Linked DNA regions of Caenorhabditis elegans. The protein of the gene in region 4 interacts with the protein of the main gene of each other region in a pairwise test. Each region holds a gene or a part of one and is shown on either strand. Other genes may lie near its edges.

Region 1 (4,137 bases), on a different chromosome or scaffold from region 4:
CGCGGGTGCCATGTTGTCCGACACTAACTTTTTGTTTTCAAAAGTGGGAAAACAGTGACTTAAGATCATAATTATGCAAATACAGAAGTTGGTCTAAACTTAGGAAAAGATTGAGGTTGCACCAAAGTGTCACCCAAGTTTCACCCAACTCTTGCCAAACTTCTACCCAAGTTTGGAACAAAACAAAAAAAGTTTGGGTTTGGCAAGAGTTGGATGAAACTTGAGTTAAACTTTGGTGCTGCCTGAATCCAAGTTTTGCAGAATTATTGTCCAACTTTTGCACAAGTTCAGCCGACTTCTCATCCAAGTTAATATTTTTTGGGCCAAGAAGTTAGAGCCAAATCCCGAGTTGGTGTGGGTTCGCCTTTTTTATCGAAGTTTTAAATTCAACTCCAAAAATGAACACGTAAGATGTCGGCCACTAAAAACTTTTTGGGGTAAACTGTTTCCAATACAATTAGAGCCTCAAAAAATACAAAAAAAAATCTCAAAAACTTTATTCTCAATCAATCAAGTTCACTATCCCAAAAGACTCTCCAATCTTCCTTTCTTTCTCTTTTCATTCTTCCCAGATGACGACTTCATATCGCGAAATCCCAAGTACTCATTAGAACGGAGCGGTGCGTAGTGTCGGCATCTGTACAGAACCTGCTTAACCTTCACACGCTGTCCGACGAATTCAAGCTTGAGCACGGAGCTATTGTTCTTGTGTCCTTCGTAGTTCAGTGCGGAGAACAGGGAGATCAGGCGACCGCCGAAACGAAGCACACATCCTTGCGGGTACATCTGCAAACGACACTCAGTTATCAAAGGCTTCAGTCACTCCAGCTTACCTCCTTAAACAGTTGATGTCCCCGAATCACCAGAGCAATGTCATTTTTCGCACAAAACTCTTCGACAACACTTTTGCCATAAGTGAATGAAATTCCACGGTGACTGAGGCCCCAGCCGTTGCGTTCCGGCTGAGCCGGGTCCGACCAGAGAAGATCGCACGCTAGGCCGTACGGTGGGACCACCAAGGGACGCTCGATCTGAAAATCAAGATTTTTTATCAACATATTTCAAAGTTAATTGGATTTTCTGGAAATTTGCGGCGATTTTTCTTCCATTGAAAAATGATGCGTCAATGATCTACAGAAATCGCGGGAAAACTATACTACACGACGCCGGTGACGTCACACCATGTAACAATTAATTTCCCGCAATTTTTGCAGATCAAATGGCGAGGGATCCAATTTAGGATCCGAAATTATAGTAATTGGCTAAAAATTTTCCTTACCGAATTAATATCCTCCAAACTTTCCAGCCAAGGCGAAATTCCACCATGTGCACAGAACACCTTCCCTCCAATAACCGCCGCCAACGGCATACAATTGAAAGTATCAATGAACATTCTCCACACTTTCTCTCCTTCATCGTTCTTCCACTGCTCCAGGCATTCATCATAGAATCCGTAGTTCAGCGTAGTATTGACGTCTTCATGATTGCCACGCAGCAAGAAAACATGCTGAGGATAGCGATGTTTCATGCAGAACAGAAGACACATCACCACCACACTTTGTGATCCACGGTCCACGTAGTCCCCGAGGAACAAGTACTTTTGATTCGGGGGAGCCTCATTTGTCAGGAAGATTCGGAGCAGGTGAATCGATTGGCCGTGCATATCGGCGACCACTGTGATTGGCTCATTGCTAATTTCCAGGAGAGCTGGCTGCTCCAAAAACGCTTTTTTCATCTTGTCGGTGAGCTGCGAGATTTCTGAGATGGTAATGTCCACTCTCAGTTGATTGACTTTCTCATTGTCTTCTCCTTTTATAGTCTGAACTTCGGATGACAATATCTTGTACAGCAACGCGAAAACTTCGTTGTCATGGTTGATTTTTGGAAGTTTCTGAAAATGTTAATATTAGATTCGGGCTTAGGCTTGATCTCAGGCTTAGGCTTAGGCTTGTGCTTAGGCATAGCCTAGGCTTAGGCTCAAGTCTCTGGTTCCCTGCCTATGTTCCCGCCTGCCGCCTATTTTTTGCATTTTAATGGCTTGCGAAAGTAGGCAAGTAAGGCGCCGACTCGCCGCACAAGGCTTGTAAGCAGGCTTGTAGACCTTCAAGCAGGTAGGCCCAAAACATTACTTACCTCATTCGAAGAAGTCATTTTGTTTTGTTTGAATTGCCTTTGTTATATCGGTAAAATTGCAAAATAAATTGTTTTTCTTTCTCCAGAATCAATAACGAGATTCTACATGAGATAAGAAAGTGTTGGCAATGTTTAAAAAAAATAAAAGTTTCACGTAAAAATTGTGATTTTAAAGAAATTTTGGCCCTAATAAACAGGTTTAGGCGAACGTGTGTGCCTACCGTCTGGTACTTTGACATCAGGTCTAGGCACAAGGTAGGCAGGTACATCTGCGTCTACAAAAGGAAGGTTTACTGTAAAAAATAGTAAGCACGTGTAACTGCCGACTGCCCTGACTCTTGCCGTATGTGTAGGCACACTGAAGGCAGGTTCAGGGGTACAAGCCTACTTTTTGGACCTGCCTACCGTTTTGGGTTCTGGCTTTCGCAAGGCAGGCGCCTTCAAATTTCATCAAAAATCTTTCAGACAAAAAAGAATTTAATGAAATAAATTAACTTTTTCGCCTGCCTCAATACTACCTGCCTACCGCCTTTTTTCTGCATTTTGGTACATTGATTGTAGGTCACCTTGAAGGCAAGTAGAGGCCTAGGTGCCTACAAATTTCGTACCACAAGATATTTTATCTATTCTGAAGTTCAAACTTTTTTTAAATCACAATATTTTCTCACATGGCAAAATTTTTTGAAAAAAGATACGTTCACCTTGTAGGTACCTAAGTAGTCAACTATTATGCCTATCCTAAAACCTTCTTACCGCACCTCGCATCACCCGTATCCCGGTAATACCATGACGCTGCTGCCCTTTTCACCTGCCAGACAGACCTCTCTTCATTCCGAAACGTTTCGAAACATAACATTTTGTACGTAATAACCATGCCATTCATAATTATGTGTACTCACAAAAAAGGAGTCTACTTGACCTCCCTCCTATATGTATCACTTTCCGATTTCCATTTGAATGATTCAGCAGCCAATTTGGGATGAGGTGAAAAGAAGAAGAAAACAAACATGGGTCGCCTCTTCATACACTTTTCGAATTTTTAAGGTTAGAGAGGGAGAGAGGGCAAAGACACGCAGAGAAAATAAAAGTCTTATCAGTATGATGCACACAGGCATATATGGTCTGTGTATGCTTCTCCACTTTTACTCTCCGGAACCTCTTCACTGCTGTCTCCTTTTACACAGAGATCTGACTCATAAACACAGTTCCTTTCCTGTCATCTGATCTTGTTACTTTCTATGGTGGAAGAGTTTTTCTTTGAATTTCTAGGCCAGATTGTTGCCACCGTAGCCTAGAAAAAAAAATGGTGGCCGAGTTTTCTATTTTGCGCGGGCACGCTTATTGGTGGAGCATAAAATAGTAGCACAACTTTTTTTAAATTAAAAAAAAACATTAGAACTGTTTTAAATAAATCAACTAAATTATCGAAAAAAATACTAATGGTGTCGAATTACCGGTTAAGAAATTTACTTGGTATAGTTACATCACATGGTGGAAGAGTTTTTAAATTTCTAGGCCATGAGTTCCTAGGTTAAATATTCAAATATATTCATGTTTGTTTCCGTAGCCGAGTTTTTCAAAAACATTGTATTTTTGTCACAGATCTATTTGAAACTCGTCTTCCAAAATTAATAAATTTTTCGGTTTTTTTTGGAGCCTGGCAGAGTGTTCTCCTTTCCGCGGCCATGGTTTTTAGTGGAGCACATTTGCATTATAGTGATTTACTCCAATTTTTTGACTTAATTTTGAATTTGTAATGCAAAAAAAAAAAATGTAAATTGTTTTAAAAATGTAGAAAATGTCTTTCCGGAATCCGGTTTTCAGAATTTTTTTTTAATCCTGAAAATTTTACGCTGTGGTTCCCATGATAGGCATATGAGTACGTCCCTACATTATGCCTGCCTGCCTACCTACCTACTAGGCATGTACTTCTGTGCTTAATCAAAGGCTAACTGTAAAATGTAGATTATGAATATTCTGGATTTATATTTTAAAACTTTCTTA
Region 2 (7,246 bases), on a different chromosome or scaffold from region 4:
GTAGGAAATCAACTGAAACTTCAGATTTGCACAGATTTTATAACATTAAATCATCAAAAAATCACTCAAAGGTAACATTTTATTACAGACTTTTCATTACTGGGCACTTTTCAAAAATGCTGTACAAATGGCGCAGTGGGATTTTCGACGAAAAAGCTTCCAGTCAAAGGACCGTGGTTCGAGTCTCCACTGTGGCAAACTTTTTTCCATAGTGTTGTTAGGCTAAACTTTCAATTCTCAACCCAAAAATTATAATATCAATTCCTAAACAGCAGAGAAAAACCTTGAAAAATAAGAATTTGAGAATAATCAGCGGAATATCGGCTGAAAATGTAGATTTTCTCAGTTTTTAAAGCCTTAAATCGTCAAGAACTCAATAAAATTCAAATTTACCCGAAATTATGTCATTTCTGGGAAATTGTCAAAAATGTCCAAATGGAGCAGTGGGATTTTCGACGAAAAAGCTTCCAGTCAAAAGGCCATGGTTCGAGTCCCCGTAATGGCAACATTTTTTTCACAATGCTGATCTCTCAAAGCTTGAAATAAATAATTTATTCTCACTAATAATGTGAATTTCAGGGGAAAAATTGTATGTCGTGTCTGTTGTCAAAAAATTTGAGCCAAAGTTCGAAAAAAAAAGTATGGGCTCAGAGAGCTCTGAAGGGGAAAAATCACATAAAAAGGGCGAAAGGAAGGCACATTTTGGGGCGAGAAACGGGGGAAATAAAAGTGAAAATTGTGCGCAAAAAAGTGAAGAGAAAGCCGACAAATTTGATTAAAAATTAGGAGAAAAAGGGGAAAATAAATAAATTAAGCGGTTTTGGTTGTGTGTGTGTGTGGTTTTAGCGAGAATATAAATAATATAATTATGTATAAAAATGGTCACATTTTGTGGTTTTTTTTTCTGAAAAAATCGAGGAAAAATGGCTGAAAAGAGTTTTTCAGTCCTCTCCACTGTCCGAATCATTTGCGTCGTGCTGTTTCGGATGATAACTGCCGTCGGAGCTTCCGTTCATTTTCATCGGGCGCTGAATTCCACCTGTAGCGGCTGCGGTGGCGGCCGACATCTCACTGGCGTTCGGTGTTCCTTGTTGTGACGGTCCTCGTGACAGTGTGTTTCGTTGGTTGGCAGGTTTTACTGGAAAATATTGGGATTTTTTGAATTTTCAAAAAAAAAATAAATTTGAAATTTTTTTTTCGAAAAAAAATTTCTGAAAATTTTGTTTTTTATAATTACTACAGAATTTAAAATCAGCTCGCTGAGAGCTTCCAAACAAGTATAATCATGACTAGGCTATGTTTATTTTGAACATTTTCCGAAATTTTGGGTCCCGCCACGAAAACTGGGTTACTGTAGGTTGGGATTTTAGTGGGGGACCCAGTTTTCGCGATTTCATTTAGATTTTTCGATTTCAGCTTACCGAGCTTTCAAATAAGTATAATTATGACTAGGTTGGCGGACATTTAAAATTTTCCAAAATGTTGGGTCCCACCGCGAAAGCCAATTTCGTGGTCGTGCCCCAAAATTGAAATTTTAGATTTTTGTTAAATAATTCAACTTCCGCTCGCCTAGAGCTTTAAAATAAACATAATCAAGACTAGGTTATGCGAAATTTTAAATTTTCGGACCCCACCACGAAAACTGGGTTACTGTAGGCAGCGATTTTCGTGGTGATACCCAATTTTCGCTATTTCAATTAGATTTTTCGATTTCATCTTACCAAGAGCTTCAAAACTAGTATAATAATGACTAGGTTTGGCGAAAATCTAATTTTTTCCAAAATTTTGGGTCTCATCGCGAAAATCAGTTTCGTGGTCGGGCCCAAAAATTGAAACTTCTCAAATTTTTTAGTAAATTCGTTTTCAGCTCATCAAGGGCTTTCAAATAAGTATAAACACGACAAGATTGCGTCACATGCGAAAATTTTGGGTCCCATCGCGAAAATGGGTTACTGTAGTTTATCATTTTCTTGGCGAGACCCGAATTTTCCAAGTTTGACAGAATATAGCCATGATTATACGCATTTGAAAGCTCTCGGTGTGCTGAATTCAAATTTTCTAATGAAATTTTTTAAAAAGTGGGTTCTCGCAATTTTCGCGGTGAGACCCAATTTTTTTCAAAATAATCTTAACCTAGTCATGATTATACTTATTTCAAAGCTCTCGGCGTGCTGAATTCAAATTTCCGGATTATATACCAGTAATAATCAAGTTATGAGCATTGGCGACCATCATATCAGTGACCTGATCCAGCGTCTTTCCGAGAACCTCAATTCCATTCACCTCGAGCACCTGAAAACCGGAATTTTTAGATTAAAAACTCTGAAAATTCCATTAAAAACCTCGTCATTAACACCAAGAAGGCCTGTGGACTCGGCGAGCCCACCATCGACAAGCCGGGAAATGAAAATTCCTGAAACTTTGACGACGCCTCGTTCTGTCACTCGAACCGATGTTCCGTCACTGAAAAAAGAATTGCAGATTTTTGGGATTTTCTGGCAAGAAATCTGAAATTTCCAGAAAAATCGATACCGAATATAGAATCCAAGTGGTCGTTCTTGTCCGTGCTTGCAGAGACGGACACGGCGATGAGCTTCTGGCACAATGTCCACGTCGATGATTGCAGAGACCTGCAAAATTGAAAATTTTTAAAAATTAATGGGAAATTTGAATTCAGCTCGTTAAGGGCTTCAAAATAAGTATAATCATGACTAGGTTTTGCCAATTTTGAAAATTCTCCTAAAATTTGGGTCCCGCCACGAAAAGTGACGAAATTTTAGAAAATTACTGCGAAATCTGAATTCAGCTCACTGGGAGCTTTCAAACAAGTATAATGGAATGACTAGGTTCCGCGAACTTTGAAAATTGTTGGTCTCGCCACGAAAATGGGATTACTGTATGTTGGCATTTTCGTGGTGGTGGGATCCAATTTTTGAGATTTTTATCAATATTTTTGAATTGGGAGCACTGTCAGCTTTAAAACTAGTATAATCATGGGTTCCGTTAACTTTGAAATATGCGGGTCCCACCGCGAAATTGGGGTTACTGTAGGTTGGCACTTTCGTGGCGGGACCAGATTTTTGCAATTTCATGAGTTCAACCGAATTCAGCTCACCGAGAGCTTTCAAATAAGTATAATCATGACTGGGCTCCGGAAAATTTGAAGATTTCCAAAATTTTGGGTCCCGCAGCGAAAATTTCCTTCGTGGTGGGACCAAAAATTGAAATTTTCAAAATTTTTTCCGGAATTTGAATTCAACTCATCAATAGCTTTCAAATAAGTATAATCATGACTAGGTTCTGCGAAATTTGAAATTTTTGGGTCCCATCACGAAACGGGATTACTGTGGTTTCGATTTTTCGTGGCGAGACCCAACTTTTTTCAAATCCATCGTAACCCGGTCATGATTATACTTATTTCGAAGCTCTCAGCGAGCTGAATTCAAAAATTCCACTTTTTTCGCTGTGAGACCCATTACCTGTCGAAAATCTTCGGGATTCGAGATTGAATAACTGCGTTTCGGTGGTTTTTGTGCCATAAGTGATGAAATTCCCTTCCATCGTTTATCAGAGTCTGTACCATAACCATATTTCTCTTCCCATGATTCACCGCGGCGTTGAATGAGCAAACGGAGCAGTGGGCGAGCCGATTCGAACGATTTTCGGAGGTTCTGCAAAAAAAATAATGGTAGTTTTGGGATTTTATCGATTTTTGGGATTTTTCTAGGAATTTATCGATTCTTTTTGTGATTTTTATTGATTTTTTGGGGATTTTTTACCGAATTTTTGTGATTTTTCAACAGATTTTTATCGATTTTTTATCGATTTTTTCCGATTTCTTGGGGTTTTGTATTGATTTTTTAAAGCGATTTTTGAGTTTTTTTGTAATTTTTTATCGATTCTTTTTGTGATTTTTATTGATTTTTTGGGGATTTTTCACCGAATTTTTGTGATTTTTGTTTCAATTTTTTGAGACTTTTTTCGATTTTTTTAAATCAATTTTTTGTAGTTTAGGACTTTTTATCGATTTTTTAAGATGTTTAGTGATTTTTTAGCGAAATTTTGTGATTTTTATCGATAAGTGATGTTTTAGTAATTTTCAGCATTTTTTAGTGAAAAATATCAATTTTAGGTCATTTTTACTCGATTTTTCTCGATTTTTTCACCGAAAAAATCAATTTTCTTCAGTTTTCCCTACTAACATTCAGATTTTTATAGACTTTTTATCGATTTTTATCGATTTTTTTTTGAGATTTTTATCGATTTTTTGAGTTTTTAAATCAATTTTTAATTGATTTTTTGTGATTTTTTTCGACTTTTCTGTGAGTTTTCAAATCGATCGATTTTTTGTCCTCGTAGGAGACACCCGAATATTAAATCGATTTTTTTATTATTATTATTTTTATTTTTTAACGATTTTTGAGCTGTTTTAAAAATCGATTTTGACTAACTTTAAGCTGAAAAAATCAATTTTCGAGACATTTTAATTGAATTTTTAGCATTTTTTAGTGAAAAATATCAATTTTATGTCATTTTTACTCGATTTTTTCGTTTTTTTTTTCACTGAAAAAATCAATTTTCTTCAGTTTTCCGCTACTAACATCGTCATTTGTGATTGGTAGAAGATCACCGCCAGTCGAGTTGTAGCACAGTGTGAATTGGACACTTTCCAGGTGATGAAGCTTCTCGACAAGGCTGAAAATATCGATTTTTACTTGAAAAATTGAACTTTTACGGGAAAATTGCTTCAAAAATCGAGTTTTCAGGTAAAATATCATTTTCCGCTCGTTTTTGGTAAAAAAAAACACAAAAAAAAAGACGAATTTTTCGATTTTCCGGCTGAAAATGGCGAAAATTCGATTTACGCATGATTTTAGCCCTAAAAATGCCGATTTTGGCCAAGTTTGGTTTGGAAAATAGATTTTTTAGGGTTTTCAAGGTAAAAATCGGAAAAAATCTGATTTTTTCAAGTAAAAAAAATCATTTTCCGCGTATTTTAGGACAAAAAACGCCGAATCCTTGGATTTTTCAGCTGAAAATCGTTGAAAATCCGATTTTCTGAATTTTAAGGGATTTTATGCCTAAAAATGACAATTTCAGTAACTTTTGGGTAGAGAAATCAATTTTTAACGTTTTTCTACGTCAAAAACATGGGTTTTGACGTATTTTAGGTAAAAAAAAAACGCTGAATTTTTCGATTTTTCGGCTAAAAATGGCCAAAAATCACCTCCGGAACCCATCGTAAGAGACACCAGACGCAGAATGCATTGGTATTGAGAAACGACGCCATTCAGAATCAAATTTCGATTTGACTTGAAGTGTTGAATGATGATTTTGATGGTAGGAGCCGTTGTAGGACATCTGAAAATTTGGATTTTTCGGGTTTTTTGAGCTGAAAAACGCGATTTTTAACAGTTTTCAGCTGGAAAATTGGAAATTCCGGCTTTTTTTGAGTAGAAAAATCGCATTTTTCGACGTTTTCCATACTTTTAAGCTGAAAAATTATGATTTTCGCAAATTAAAACTCACAATTACAAGTTACAGGTGCAGCTCCGCGTTGAGCCGGAAATAATGCACAATTTTCGTGGGAAATATCGATTTTTTCGGCTGAAAATTGGATTTTTTCACATTTTTGAACCTTTTTTAAGTGAAAAAATTATTAAGTGAATAATTTTTGAATTTATTAATCAAAAATCGGATTTTAAATAATTATTCAATGGAAAAAATTGAATTTTAATTTAAAAGTTAGAGTTTTGAACAGTTTTCAACGGAAAAAAAAACTGAATTTGAGTTGGAAAATAGACATTTTTAGGAAATTTGAGTAGAAAAATTGAATAAAAATTCCAAAAAATGGCAATTTTGAACATTTTTCTAGCGGAAAATGAAATTTCAAGCTAAAAATCGCATTTTTTGCGATTTTTACAAAAAAAACCTTCAAAACACCAAATTTCCGCTGAAAATTGAGTAAAAATGAGTCACAAAACTCTCCAAAAAAGTTTGATAAAAACTGATGACTCATCGCCAAAAATTTTCAATAAAAAATCGATAAAAAAGCTGATAAAAACAGCGAAAAATTCAAAAAAAAAGGTTAAAACTAAAACAAATCTTTACGCAAAAAAATGGAAAAAATTGAAACGAAAAACCGTGAAAATCAACAAAAACTGGGGGGCAAAAAAATGGATAAATTACGGGATTTTTCGCCGAAAAAATGGCGAAAAATCACAGAAAAATGCAATAAATTGAGGGGAAATCCTATTCTTCATCGTCTTCTTCTTCTTCTTCGGAATCCATTTCAAGACCTTCGAGTTCCTGGAAAAAATGGGTTTTTTTGAGTGGAAATTTGAGATTTTTTGGGGTTTTTTAGGCTAAAAAATGGGATTTTTGGAGGTTTTTTATGTTGAAAATCGGAAAATTTGATCATTTTAGGCAGTAAAATCGAATTTTCATCTTGAAATTAATCAATTTTATGAGAAAAACTCGAAATTTCGAACAATTTTTGGAATAAAATTGCAATTTTTCGCGTTTTCAAGTAGCTTTTCACTGAAAAATGTGGGAATTTTGGCGTTTTTTCCATAGAAAATCGGAATTTTAGTGAGAAAATTTCAATTTTTTGATAGAAAATATGAAGTTTATCACAAAAAATTCACTTTTAAAGTGGAAAATCGTGAATTTTCAGCCAAAAATGCCAAATTTTGTAAATTTTGAAGCTTTTTCTTCGGAAAAATCCAGATTTTTTGCATTTTTTTTAGCTCAAAAACAGAGTTTTCCATGGAAAAATAAATTTTGAGTAAAAAATGTCTAATTTTTCAGTGAAAAAATGGGGATTTTAGCGAATTTTTACATTTTTCCAGGTTTTAAAAGGGAACGTTTCAAAAAAGAAAAAAAAATTTTCGGATTTTCACCGAAAAAAACTCGAAAATCGACAATTTCCAATGAATTTGCATGTTTTTCATGCAATTTTTTAATAGAAAATCGTAAATTTTCAGTAAAAAATCGATTTTTCAGTGGTTTTTTCCAGAAACCTCATTATCAAAGAGGCTCTCATCAATTTCGACTTCATCTTGTGCTCCAATAAGTGTGACGTCAGAGAGATTGAGTGTAGCGTCACGAAGGAATAGTTGACGTCCTGGAAAATATTGGTTTTTTTTGAAATTTTCAGCGATTTTCAGACGGAAAATCACATTTTTTGTGAGATTTGGAGCCAGAAAATGGGATTTAAATGAATTTTTCGCCTGAAAAAGTTCAA
Region 3 (7,885 bases), 1.7 Mb from region 4:
GAAAATGGCTTATTCTAGATCTCAATTTAAAAAATTCAGCTAGTGAATAATACAAAAAGTTAAAATCGTAAAACTAAAATGTTATGATGATGGACTGAACCAGTATTTCATCCGAAACTCGAACGCGATTGGTAACAACGAATTAATTTATTCATGATGGTTCTGGTGGTTTAAAAGAGTTGTGATCAACTTTTTTTTGAAAACGGGCAGAACTGAGAGAGACGACACATCGGACCAACAACCTTAAGGATAAGTTCACGGATTAGAATACAACCATCACAATTTCATAGGGGACGGAATAAATAGAAATAGAATATCATAATTTAAACAAAAAAAGTGTATAGACATCAAGCAATAAATTACAATATAATTATTGATGCGGGGAGAAAGTGAGGGGGTGGGGGTAAGAAAATGGGGATAAAACTATCGAATTACATAAATCCAGGGGCATTATATCCTGGTTGTCCAGGTTGACCGTAAGCAGGCTGTCCGCCATAGCCACCAGTTGTTCCTGGATAAGTCATTTGTGGGGCAGGGGCACCATAGGTAAGCATAAGTTGTGGTTCCACTGAAAATATCAAATAAATTTAAATTCTAAATATTTGTTAAAACTCACTGGTCATTCCATTGTTTTGTTGCTGCTCAGCCTTCTCCTCTTTCCTCTCATGCTCAGAACGCTCCAACTTCTCAAGTCTCGTCTGATAATCTCTCATAACTTGGATCATGTAAGGCATGGCGTAATCCATAATCTTATGCTTCCAAGCGAGCTCCATGATGACATCGGGGTGAAGGAGATCATAACAATGGTAAAGGGAGGCGGCAAAACAATCATAAAGTTTCTCATCCAGGAAGAATGACAAGAGCTCTTCGGCGAGTTCTCCGTTTCTCGATTCTGCAGCGTATTCCATGGCATCCTTGTACAGCTTGTCTTTTTTGCAAAGCTCGATCGATTGCTTCCATCTGTTGTTTCCCTTGAACAAGTATGCGGAAATTCTTCTGAATTCCACAAGTGGGTGCTTCTCAAGTTGTTGGGCCAAAGTGATATTGTCAAAGTTGTCTTGAGCCTCAATAGAAGAACGAAGCCCGGCGTGATCCTCCTCATCAATGAGCAACTGATTCAAAGCCTCGTTGATAGCCTTGTTGTTCAAGTTTTGAACTTGTCTCAAGTAAGGCTTGACCAGTGGGATTTGCTTCACTGAAAATTATTGTTATTAAAAGTTTAAAAACTAAACGAAATTTAAACTTACGCTTATTGAAGAACAAAACTGTGCGCGAATGATCCAACCGAGGCGATAGCACAGTAAGAAGGTCATTCAGGAGAAGTGGCTTATAATCCAGGTAGAACTGCATTGCTTTGTAGTATAGCTCAACATTAGCGACTTTAGCGATGACTTCCTTGAAATGTTGCTCTCTCCAAGATTCAGTTGGATGCTGCATCATTGTCAGTGCGGCGTTATCATATTCTTCGTATTTATCGTACAAGAACACCAACTCGGACCAAAGATGAGCCTGCTCGGCAGCACGAAGAACTTTTGGAATATTAACACGGCTCCAGAACAATTCCAAATGCTCACGCATCTTCTCTGGCTTATACTTCGAGTACAAAATCGCGAGTTCGGTGAACATTCCCATGTGAGCCCGTTCAAGACCCAATGCAGCTTCGAGAAGAGCAATGAGCTCTTCGAAATGTCCACGATCTTGGTAGAAGTTGATCAATTCCTCAAGCTCATCAGCGTGGACAACGATGTGAAGTCCACACATCTGGGCAAGCCGGAACTCTCCATTCTCGACACAAGAGAAGCACACTTGTTTCCATGTCTTCGTGCTGTTGGCTTTGCGTGCAGCATCGACAGCTCCTTGATATTCTCCAAGACGAACAAGAGTAACGGAAAGTTTGGCGAAGTTGGAAACATTGTTGAAAAGGATCTTAGCGGAATCGAACATTCCATTGTCAAAGCAACGATCTCCAATTTGTCCGATTTGAGCGTGATTTGGTCCAGCGATAAACTCTTCAAGTTCAGTGAGACGACCAGTCTTGGCCAGAGCAAAAACGAGTTCCGTTTCGATGTATGACTCACGACTCTTCTTGCGAGCCATTTGAAGGTAACGAACAAGATCTTCCCAGTGCTCCGTTTGAGAACATTTGTTCACAACCTCCATGTACGCTCCTGGATCATCGGCCTTGATAAACGAATCGACAGCCTCCTTCACCAAATTTTGTTGGAGCTGTGCCTTGGCTAAAGATGCCCAGACATCTGACTGGTTGCACTTTTCAGCAAATTCGTAAGCACGATCCAAATTGTTCACGTTCTCGATAAGAACATTGATGGCACTTGAGTTCACATCGAATTTCTTGAAAATGGCAAACGCTTCTTCGTAGAGTTCAGAAGTTATAGCAATGTTAGCAATATCTGGAGCATCATAGTTGTCAAGCTTTTGAATGTACTCCATCACACGAGTTCTATCGGCCTGAAAGTGGATTGATCGAATATGTTTTCTAAAATAATTAACTTACTCTCATTGCAGTCAAAATGAGCAGATTTTGAAGATTACGGTGCTCCGAGAATGCAGAGTTATCGAGAACAATCTTTTCCAAAAGTTCAATAAGTTCGTTCGGCAAATCGGCAGCCATGAATGCCTTAACAGTCACAGAGATGTCTTCGGGATCTTGAGTTTCGGAAAGAGCAGTTTGAACCACTTGATCTATCAGCTGTCTACGATGAACATTCTCTTCGTTGAGAACTTGCTCCCACAGAGTGAAGTCTCTTCTCTTCACCAAATATCTTGCAAGATTCTTGAATAGTGAATTCTCGTTGCACACGTTGATCAATTCAGCGTCGCACTGTCCGCGTTCGTATGACAAGAAGGCGTAGTGAGGATCACGCTTTTCGCAGTACTTTCCAACAACTTTGCTATCGTAGTAGGGATTTTCCTTCAAGAATCGTTCGGGATTGTTGTTAGAATCTATGTAAATCTTGGCCATCGCATTGTGGGTAGCAGCATCAGTCGCTCCCTCCTGGATTTTCGATTCAAGCCAGTGATTCAAAAGCTTCAAACGATTGCGTTTCTCAACTTCCTCGACAAGCTCATCAATGTCAAACTTTCCACGAGTGTTAATGATCAATTGTTTGATAGCATCTTCACTACAATCAACATCTAGAAGAGCACCAACAACGATCGGAAGACGGGCGGCATTAACCTTTTGAACAAAGACTTCAATGTACTTCTGGAGCTGGTTTCTGTACAGGTAAAGAACAAGATCATGAACCATGTTATGACGATCGCAGACAATGATCAAAGGAAGTTGATCGTTGAGCTTGGCTTCCTTAAGGAAATTCTTGACACGTTCGGCATCATAACATTGCGACTCTCTACAGATACGCTCAACCTCTTTAATTTGCCCTGTGCGCGTGGCAGCTTGAATGTACTTGAAGTGAACTTCTGGGTCCTGGCTGAAGTTGACAATCGAACCAAGGAAGTAGAAAAGACCTTCGTATGACTTGTGATTTTCGAACATCTCAATCAGCTTGTCAGCTCCGAGCTGTTCATGATACTTGGATGCAATCTGCACAACGACTTGGAGGTTCTGTCGGATATTCTGAGTGAGCATGGCTTTCAAGCATTCGACCGAATCTTCAACAGAAAGGCTTCCGAAATATCCAACGAGCCACTGAAAATAAATTAGCATTTATTTTAGAAATCTAATTAGAAACTCACATCAGGCTTGAGAAGATGGGTGTGAACAACAGTTCGCTTAATGTCGTAGAGGTCAGTGAAGTGTTCGAGAGCTCTTTGAAGAAGTCCAGCCTTTTCGCAGAGTTGTCCGATAGCGGCACGATCGTAGTGAGAGAACATCTTGTTGGCTAGAATAGCATCGGCAACAGCTGGGGCAGCGAGCAGATTCATTTCAAGAAGTCTCGTTTGCAGATGTCCTTCCTCCGGCTTATCACCCTTCAAAACTTCGAGAAGGAATGAAGTGCATGGTTGAACAGCTTGAACCTCCATGAAACAGTCAATGATCTGAAAAGGTTTAAATTAGCCAAATCCTTATTCTCATTCGTTACCTGTGAAAGATCAGCAAGTGGTTCTCCGTTTTCGCTCTCAGAGACAAGAAGTTGAGCGAATTTTGCTCCATGATCAGGATTCGAATTACGGAGAATTTGACGAAGTTGGAACAAATAGTCTGGTTGGAATCCGACACGCTTGGCATACATTACGATCTTGTCGAATTGTCCAGTTTCAGCAAAAGATTGAACAACCTTGTGCGGGACATTTCCACGCAAATAGACTGAAAGAGCAGTATTCACATCGTGCGGCTTAATGAGATCTCCCAATTCTTCACAACACTCCAACTTCTGATCATTGAGCCACTTCGTTATCAACTCCTTTCTTCCTTGTGCCAAGACCGGACGACACAGCTCGAGTGTTTCGTATTTATTCAACTTTCCTTGATCGAGAAGAATTCCGAAATATTGAAGAAGTGGAGATGGTCCTGGACCAGTAGACGGGCACTGCTGGAACTTTTGAATGGTGGCTGGTGTTCTCAAAATTCCTTGTGGAGCCGATGCAGCAACCTTGGCTGATTCTCCAAACTGTCCGTTGCTGAACAACAAGTTGAATTTGCGAACGAACAACTCTTCAGCTCCAGGCAGATCACAACGCACGGCCAACTTCAAAGCCAAATCTGGATTTTGCAGCTGGTTCGTAACGAACGGAACCAAGTTAGCTTCATCGATAGAGACGGAAAGAACTTGTCCCTTTCTGTTAATTCCCATTATTCCTCCTGTAGCTGTGTATTCACAGGTCACAAATACGGTATCAGTCGAAATTCGATTCGAATAAATCCGTGTTCCAGACTCGACATCATAAAGATGAACATATCCTTGCTTTGTTACCAGGTAAATAATTCCTTGCTTCGCAGATACCTGAAAACCAACAATTTATTTTATAAACAACACCATTCAGCTTTTGAAATTATAAACAATCAATCAGAAAGATATCAAATTTTGTTTATACGACTATAAGCAACATACCTGCATAGACACTGGAAAATCGCCAGCTGTGTCAGCGGTATATGGAACATCAACATTCTTCTTTTGGAAAGGAGTGTTTCCAGCAGCTGGGGTTCCTACTTCAATAACGTGCAATTTTCCTCCATTATCGGTTTTGACGGAAAAACAGAATAAGTTAGATGGGTTTTGGTTTCCATCGACCTAAAACATTATTAATATGACAAATCCATCATCGAATTAGTCCTACCTTGAATCGAACGAAGCAAGCGGCATGGCCTTCGATTGGCTGCGATACTTTTCTCTCGGTACTGTACAATTGCATACTTCCAACGACACGGGAGTCTTTTGCGGAAATTCCAATAAGAACGAGCCACTTGTTTTCGGCATCAGCGCGATAATTTATGATTTGAGTTCCGGCCAACGACTGATGTCTATCGAACATCTTGACTGGAGCTGCATCACCCTCGATCGACCAATGATAGACGGCTGTGTCGGAAACGAGTGCAATCGTTTTCTCACTGATCCACTTCCAATAAACTACATCTTCTACATTCTGATGAGCTTTCACTTTTGCTTTCAACTCAATATTGAAAATTTGAAGTGTCTTGCCAGCTGAAAAAAGGTATAAATAAGCTTCAGAGTCAAATGGTACTGAAAACTAACATTTCAAAGCAAGAATTTTGGCAGTTGGGTGCATGATTACTGAGTCAGCAGAAATTGGACGACGAGTTGGATTCGCTGTGTCGGCCAAATCAATAATCACAACCTGTTGTTGATCACCAATCTGGAAATTATCCGTTTAGAACAGTTAATTGCGATTATTTGACCTACCATCTCACGAACAACAATGTTCTTATCAGATTCCATTGTGACATTGGAGAATGTAATGTTGGGCACCCGAATTCCAGCATTCGGAAGCTGCAGGTGCTCGTGAAATTTGATTGGGAGCGCCATCTTTGAAAACTGTGTGTAGAATGGAAAAACTTCTTACAATAAATTATATACCTGCAAATGGAGATGTTTGAAAAAAAAAGAAAAGAGAACACGATAAAAATAAAAAGATGAGTCACGTAAAATTTATCACAAAAGTGAGACATTTCCGGGAAATAGAAGTGAATATCGGTAGATTGAAGGAATAAATGGAAAAATATACAGCTTTAAAGCTAGCTTTGGCCGCTGTTATTACTGTGAATGATTTGAAATGAAGGAAAAATTGTAATTCCAAAAGTTAGAACTCTTTGCTGAGTAAAGAAAAATTTTTGAGGACTCATAGCGCACCTAAAAAGAGGGAAAACGTAAAAATAAAACAATTGAACGGAAATGTCTTATCAAGAGAGAGCTTTGTCAAACATGCAGAAGCCAGTTGATCGAGAGAAATGATTCCTGTTTGCCAAGCTTGAACAAGTCGCCCTGTCATCACAGGGCACGCGACGCGACGCGCCCCGCTTCTCGGTAGAGCGCGCTTTTCCGCCGAATTTCTTCTGGGAATTTTCTTCGCTTTGGGCGGAGTTTTTAATTTCACAAGGAAAAATTTATGTTTGTACGGCCGAAGGATTGACAAAAGAAAAGCGTTCGTATGAAATGAATGAGTCATCAGCAATTACGACAGTGAATTACGTGTTTGGATTAAGAAATGATTGCCGTGAAATATTGAAAAGAAAAAAAAAACAAATTTGATCTGCGGATAAACTTTGTTTTCTCAATTTCAATCAGTAGATCACTCATACACGGAAATTTTTCGAGTTTTACACAAAAAATACAGTACGGGGTCTCGACACGACCAATTTTCTTTGATTTAAAAGTGTGCGCGCCTTTAAGGAGTACTGTAGTTTGGAACACTTTTTTTGAACATTTCATTTTTTGTTCTGTTTTACCGAAATTCAAGGAAAAACTGAGATAAAACACGTTGAGAATCCAACAACGTTGCGCAAAAAAAAACCGATTTTTTTGGTCCAAAATACAACGAAAAACTGTTTTCAAAATTGAATTGTATTATAATTTTTTGGCATTTTTGAATAAAAATGTTATGTATTGTTTTCTGTTCAAATTCTCTTGTATTAGCCCTGCTGGAAGTTACAGTACTCCACGGACCGAAGATCACACTTTTTGCATTTAAGAGAATCTTTCGTGTCGAGACCCGGTACCGGTTTTTTTATGCAATTGCCACAGAAATTCGCAAATGTGTAATAGTTCCGCTTTAATGGAAAATGAAATACAAAGTATGTCGTGATGGGTATTGCGAAATCGCACATTTTATTTCGAAATCTCAAGTTAAGTAAATATAAAATCAAAAACAATTAATAAGATGTACTCTTATCCTGCAAACTCTTTTTCGCCTCGAAATGTGTGATTGCATCCGACTTCACATTATCATAGAAGCATCGTTTCATGTCCTCGAACCTGCAACCAATTTAATTCAACATGACTTTTGCCTCGAGAATTGGAAGATAAAAAGATATGGAAACCTGTCTAGGCAAGGCGCATAGCTGTAATCAATTGGAGTGTAGAGATCGGGTGTTTGATCGCAGAAGGTTAGACATTTACTTCCAGCCGTCGTTGCATCCACCTGACTTTGTGAGCAACACTGAAACTAGTAAGAAGTTATTGAGCAGATTTCAACGACCTTTTACCTGGCTATGATCTTTTCCTTGAGCCGCACAAAATTGCATTTCTGGCAGGAATTCAATCGGGCATTCACTTGAACCAAAGAACATTGATTCCAGCTATACAATTTTTGAAATTCAATTTCACAATATAAACTTGACCTATTTAAACCTACCACTCCTTTGTTATAAACATTAAAATGGCATTTCTGAACACATGCGGGAGGCAACTGTCGTTCCTCACAGCATACATGGAACAAGTGGTTAGGA
Region 4 (5,018 bases):
TTTGAAGTTCTAAAAGATCGCGTTAAATGAGAAGAATTTTACTTACTTTCTTTCAATGGATGCCTCTGCATTGCAGCCATAAAACTTGCTTGTCTAGGCGTGTTACGGGATAAAGCACTTCCAGATATTTTATCAGAGTCTTCATTATTCAATTGTTGATTCTCCGTATCCAATGATACTTTGGAAGTGGATATCTAAAAAAATTATAAAAAAATATAAAACGTGAAAATTATATGAGAAATCTCACATCATCACTAATAGGTGCAAGTCCAGCAGTTGGAGCATGACGCTGGGTAATCGGTACCGCCACAACTGATAATCCTCCAACGATCGGAGAGCTCGCTCCACTTCCATGTCTATTCTCCAAATCACGGAAATATGCAGCCGGTGAGAGTGCTCCGCGAGCTAATGGACGTGAACTTTTCAACCATCCTGCTTGCAATGATGGACGATGTTCCGAGTTTGTAACTTGCCAAGTTGACACCGAGCGACCAACATTTCTAAACGTAGAAATTATAATTTTTGTGAGAAGCTTAAAAATAATTTTTAAATAAGCGATAAAAGTGGGAAAAGTTTGTTTCAAATAGTGGTGCACATCAAGGATGTCGGTTTTCCAATTTGAATTTATTGTTAACTTTTTGATCATTATTTTCGATTTTTCGATTTTCCGGAAAATCGAAATGGTTTTGTTTTTCTTGCCGAAAAATATTAAAAAAAAAAAAATTTTATGAAAAAAAAAATGTTAGAATTTTAACAGAGAAAATAGGAATTCGCTCTTTCTTAAATCACAATTTTGTAGTGATTTTCTGATTGAAAATACGTTTCTTTTTTTGTATTTTAGGGATCACAACGACACAAGGCAGAATGAATACATACCCATATTCAGGTGGTTCTCTGCGAATTCCAGTTGTGGCAATTGTATTGGTTGATCCGTTTCCAGTTAATGGTGACGCTGTATTGCAATACAATTGATCATATTTGGGAAGAGTTGAAGAAGACGAAACAAGTTGACTTCCATACAGACGCGTTGGACGATGACGATCTTGCCAAGACCCGTAAATTGCATTTCGTGCTGAAAATTCTATTAAAAGATTAGAACATCCAATTTTCCTTTAATAACTTGTTCAGATGCAATATTTCTCAAATTTTTCTATAAAAACCGCAGCCGGTAACAAAGTGACAGACGTGTTATTTAGATTGAAAGAGTCTTTAAGGACTACTGTAGTTGGGCGGTAATTTGACAATTTTTTTAATTGCCAAAAAAATTTAAATTCTCAGAATGAAATATGAAAATCTCAGGATTCTTCTTTGGGCGCAAGGGTGTCGACTTTTCACAATCATCGAAAAAATTGATTTCTGATTTTAAGAAAAATCGAATAATTGCAGTTTTTTTTTTAAATTCAAACCGATATTTCAAAAAAAAATATTAAAAATAAAATTGTTCTTTTTTATTTACAAACAAAAAAACAAAAATTGATTTTAAAAATTGAATTTTATTGTTAATCTTCTAAACATTTTTTATTCGATTGTTCGTTTTTGATCGGCTCTGAAAAAAATTCGATGGCACCTTTGGTTAGTAAGGAAAAAAATTAAATTTCTTCGACAAAAAACACGTGTAGAAATTATGTTTTGCTGATTTTTTTCTTCAAGATTTTATGAATTTTAAAAAATATATGTTGACATATTTTTCAATAATTTTAAAGATTTACACTTATGAAACATTCGAAAATATCTCGCAACAAAAAATACTTGGGAACTACAGTACTCCTCAAAGGCGCACACTCGCTTGCTTTCAAGAACATCGGAAACTTTGAGACGGTGTACCGTATTTTTTTGGAGCGAAAATAGAAAAATTTTGCATCTGAGTAATAAATATTCCTTACCTGATGGAACTTGTGATGATACATCCACAATATTTGTCGTATTTGCTTTTCTTCTCAACTGTGGCTGATATTGCTGTTGATGTCCATTTGGTGGCATCGCTGACATTCTTGGACGCATCTCACCGAGCAATGCCGAGATTCGAGCATTCTGAAATTACAAATAATTTACTGTTCCAACGAAAAGAAAAAGAATACTAGAGAACGGGGCGGGACAATTGAAATTTATCAAGCTACCGTATTCCGTATTTATTTTTCACCAATTTCGGCTTTTCTCATCGTACAGCACATAAAATCGGATAAAAGAAAATGGGTAATCGGAAAGAAGCAGGAAAGCGCGGAGCCGATTTTATGAAAGATGCAAACGAGGAGAAAAGCCGTGATTCTGACTGCACTGAATCCAATTCTTTATGGCGAAAAAAGGAGAAAATGGTTAATCATTCTGCTTTTTCTACTACCAATTTTACTTAAATAGCTTTCAGAATAGAACGCTAATGGAATCAGGAATTTTTTTTCCATTTTCTGTTTCTTACATTTTACAGTTAATTCTACGAGTAGCGTCAGCTAAACGTCTGTAAAAAGTAAAATTGTCAGAATTAATTTAACAGAGCTCGAAATAGTTATTAGCATTTTTGGTAAATCTTTTTAATACGATATTCCAAACAAGGATGTCGTTTTTTCGATTCTTACTAAAATCGAAAAAATTTTTTTCTTATATCTCGAAAAATAGCTCAATATTTTGGTCATTTTCCCTTTGTTTTAAAGAAAATTGCATGATTTTTTTTAAATCAACATGCACAAAGTATTTTTTTTTTAATTTAATTTTATTGTTAATTTGCTACAAAAAATTGGAAAATTTTCGCTTTTTAATTTTCGATTTTTTTTCTAGATTTCTCGAACCTTGCTAATAATTATTTCAATTCTGTTGTATTTCTTTTCTCAACAAAAATATTTAATTTGAACAAAATGTAATTTATTCCACCAACCTGAGCTAAATCTTCGTTACTCTGCTGCTTAAGTTGATGCTCACTACGTGCTGCTCGAAGAGCCCAACTGCCGAATGCTCCGTCGACAATGTCTCCTCCTATCACCGACGCACGCTCCGCCTTGACATGGAGCCGTCGATGGTGCTCCTCCATCGAGCCGAAACTCTTCTTTCCTTGTTTCTTCTGTTGTTCGTTATGTTTGACGTGTTTGACGTCGTGTGCCGTCTGACGCACACTATTATTATCTGAAAATTGTATTTTTTGTTAGAAGAGAGTAATATAGAGTTTTGAGGAACAACAATTTTATAAGCAATAAATATTCTTGAGAAAGCAAAAGAAAAGCGATCCGAAAAGCATCGTCCAAAATTTTTGGAGGAAATGGAGAAAGTGTAGCAGAGGAATGGGAAACAAAGGAAATATATTATGCATGTTCACAAAGAAATGACCTCGGAGCAGTAGCAATTGAACCCAGAATCCAATTAGAAATATTTTCGTTCCATGATAAACCAAAAACATATATTTTTGAGCTTCTGATAATTCGAAGGTTTGTCTGGCGCGTTCTGACTACGAAAAGGTTACGGCAAGGAATCACGAAACTTTAATCATTATGCTACAAATTTCGATACAATCAAGGTTTTTCATATAATTTACTTTTGATCTACCTGCTGAAGTTCGAATGACGAGGTTGATCAAAAATAAATTGTTTGAACAAACTGTGATAGTATTTTCTTAATAATATTTTTCTACATTTTTATTTAAAAATACAATGAAAAAATTTTTAAACTAGACGATTTAGAGCAATCAATCCACTTTTATGAATTTTGAAAAGAATCTATTTGAGTAAATAGCAAAACGGTACGCTGTGAATACAAAATGCATTATAAATGTAAATGCTATAGCGATTTCACTTAGTTTGAAATTCAAATAATCCGTTGAGCATCAAAAAGTGCGTAGTTGAGGTGTACCGATATACCTTCATTGCAACGGCGTAAAATAACGACCAATAAAATTTGTGCAGGCGTGGGCTGGCACACATTATACGGCAGAGGTGAGGATGCAGATATTCTTCATGCTCAGCTCATAAAATTCAAATCAGGGCACTTCTAGGCTGGGATGCATATGCTTAAAAATTCACATTCGAGAAATTTAAAAGTATCATTATACAAAACCAATATGGAATTTGTCGAGGAAAATGAATGAAATGACAAGGAGGGAAATGAGGAGGGGGGAGAGGAAGAAGTTTTCAACAAAAAACTTGTTCCCACTTGGCAGGGAAATGGAAAGAGGATGAAAAAAAACGCGGACAAAAGCAGATGTTCGAAAAGAAAACAAAAGTAAATCCTCCTTTCTTTTTTTGTTTCTCCCTCATCATTGTCGATTGGCATCTTATAGTTTTACACCCGGATGTGCCATCCAGATGTAGATATTTAGAGAGATGATAGACGAAAGATTATTCAAAAAGTTTCAAATCTCGCACGGAAGATTCTCAGATCTTAATGAGTGGATCAAGAATGTCTCAGAATTTTCAGAACAAAACCAAATAAAATCATTTTATGACAATAATAGAAATGAATCTTGGGCGGATTGAAACTAATTTACAAAGCACATGAGCTGATATCGTAAATTTTGATAATGAGAGAATTCGAAGCGTTTTTCGAATTACAAATTATGGAGAATATTAGGAACCTTGAACGTTAAATGAAATAAGGAACGAGACTAACGACATCTAGAGGACAGCGATTCGATGAAAAGGACACAAGCCAGGTGCGCCAGTGAAGAAGGGGTGCGCGCGCGAAAACGAGGCAAACACGGACGGAAAGACTACGCGAGTTCACCTTGACACGCTTGTCATCATCATCGTGGCCCTCATCTCGTCCTCAGATTCTGATGAATGAGCGAATTATCTATGGTTGTCGTCGTCGTGTACCACACTAACAAGCATCAGTGCCCAACAGTATACTGTCTGTGAGTGAATGTGTGGCGGCAGTGGCGCCCGATTGCGAACGATAATTATTATGTAACCGATTGTGGCGACGATGGGGATGTCGGTAGTATTGTGACTGGTAAGTAGGAAAATAAGAGACTAAATTGGACCGATCAAAACGAAACTACCACATCGAAAATGACTAGGAACACTGCGATGCGATGAAAT

What was found.
Region 1: the proteins of pac-1 (region 4) and W03D8.2 interact in a two-hybrid assay, tested with the Caenorhabditis elegans proteins (one study listed by BioGRID).
Region 2: the proteins of pac-1 (region 4) and par-6 interact in binary tests that used the Caenorhabditis elegans proteins (3 or more experiments, as listed by UniProt).
Region 3: the proteins of pac-1 (region 4) and chc-1 interact in a two-hybrid assay, tested with the Caenorhabditis elegans proteins (one study listed by BioGRID).

What each region holds. Positions count from the first base shown.
Region 1 is NC_003279.8:2,797,694-2,801,830, forward strand, and holds W03D8.2 (Serine/threonine-protein phosphatase), read right to left. Parts: upstream 2,152-4,137; coding exon 2,134-2,151; intron 1,979-2,133; exon of another isoform or gene 1,916-1,978; intron 1,892-1,915; coding exon 1,280-1,891; intron 1,032-1,279; coding exon 834-1,031; intron 787-833; coding exon 520-786; downstream 1-519.
Region 2 is NC_003279.8:12,667,741-12,674,986, reverse strand, and holds par-6 (Partitioning defective protein 6), read right to left. Parts: upstream 5,608-7,246; 5' UTR 5,530-5,607; intron 5,362-5,529; coding exon 5,228-5,361; intron 4,696-5,227; coding exon 4,602-4,695; intron 3,672-4,601; coding exon 3,480-3,671; intron 2,733-3,479; exon of another isoform or gene 2,667-2,732; intron 2,631-2,666; coding exon 2,533-2,630; intron 2,464-2,532; coding exon 2,343-2,463; intron 2,293-2,342; coding exon 2,199-2,292; intron 1,139-2,198; coding exon 942-1,138; 3' UTR 540-941; downstream 1-539. Other genes in the region: T26E3.4 (RWD domain-containing protein), read right to left, coding at 6,253-6,309, 7,023-7,126. UniProt on the Caenorhabditis elegans protein: Necessary for apicobasal and anterior-posterior asymmetries associated with cell adhesion and gastrulation during the first few cell cycles of embryogenesis. Required for localizing/ maintaining par-3 at the cell periphery.
Region 3 is NC_003281.10:10,201,953-10,209,837, reverse strand, and holds chc-1 (putative clathrin heavy chain 1), read right to left. Parts: upstream 6,018-7,885; 5' UTR 5,967-6,017; coding exon 5,844-5,966; intron 5,797-5,843; coding exon 5,676-5,796; intron 5,625-5,675; coding exon 5,260-5,624; intron 5,214-5,259; coding exon 5,034-5,213; intron 4,926-5,033; coding exon 4,065-4,925; intron 4,021-4,064; coding exon 3,718-4,020; intron 3,671-3,717; coding exon 2,516-3,670; intron 2,470-2,515; coding exon 1,248-2,469; intron 1,196-1,247; coding exon 617-1,195; intron 569-616; coding exon 432-568; 3' UTR 134-431; downstream 1-133. Other genes in the region: dbd-12 (DB domain-containing protein), read right to left, coding at 7,310-7,412, 7,478-7,596, 7,643-7,735, 7,792-7,885. UniProt on the Caenorhabditis elegans protein: Clathrin is the major protein of the polyhedral coat of coated pits and vesicles. May play a role in yolk protein clatherin-mediated endocytosis by oocytes during oogenesis.
Region 4 is NC_003281.10:8,493,111-8,498,128, reverse strand, and holds the start of pac-1 (GTPase-activating protein pac-1), read right to left. Parts: upstream 3,020-5,018; coding exon 2,867-3,019; intron 2,032-2,866; coding exon 1,884-2,031; intron 1,073-1,883; coding exon 877-1,072; intron 501-876; coding exon 248-500; intron 195-247; coding exon 44-194; intron 1-43. UniProt on the Caenorhabditis elegans protein: GTPase-activating protein for members of the Rho subfamily including Rac1, RhoA and cdc42 and other Ras-related subfamilies including let-60.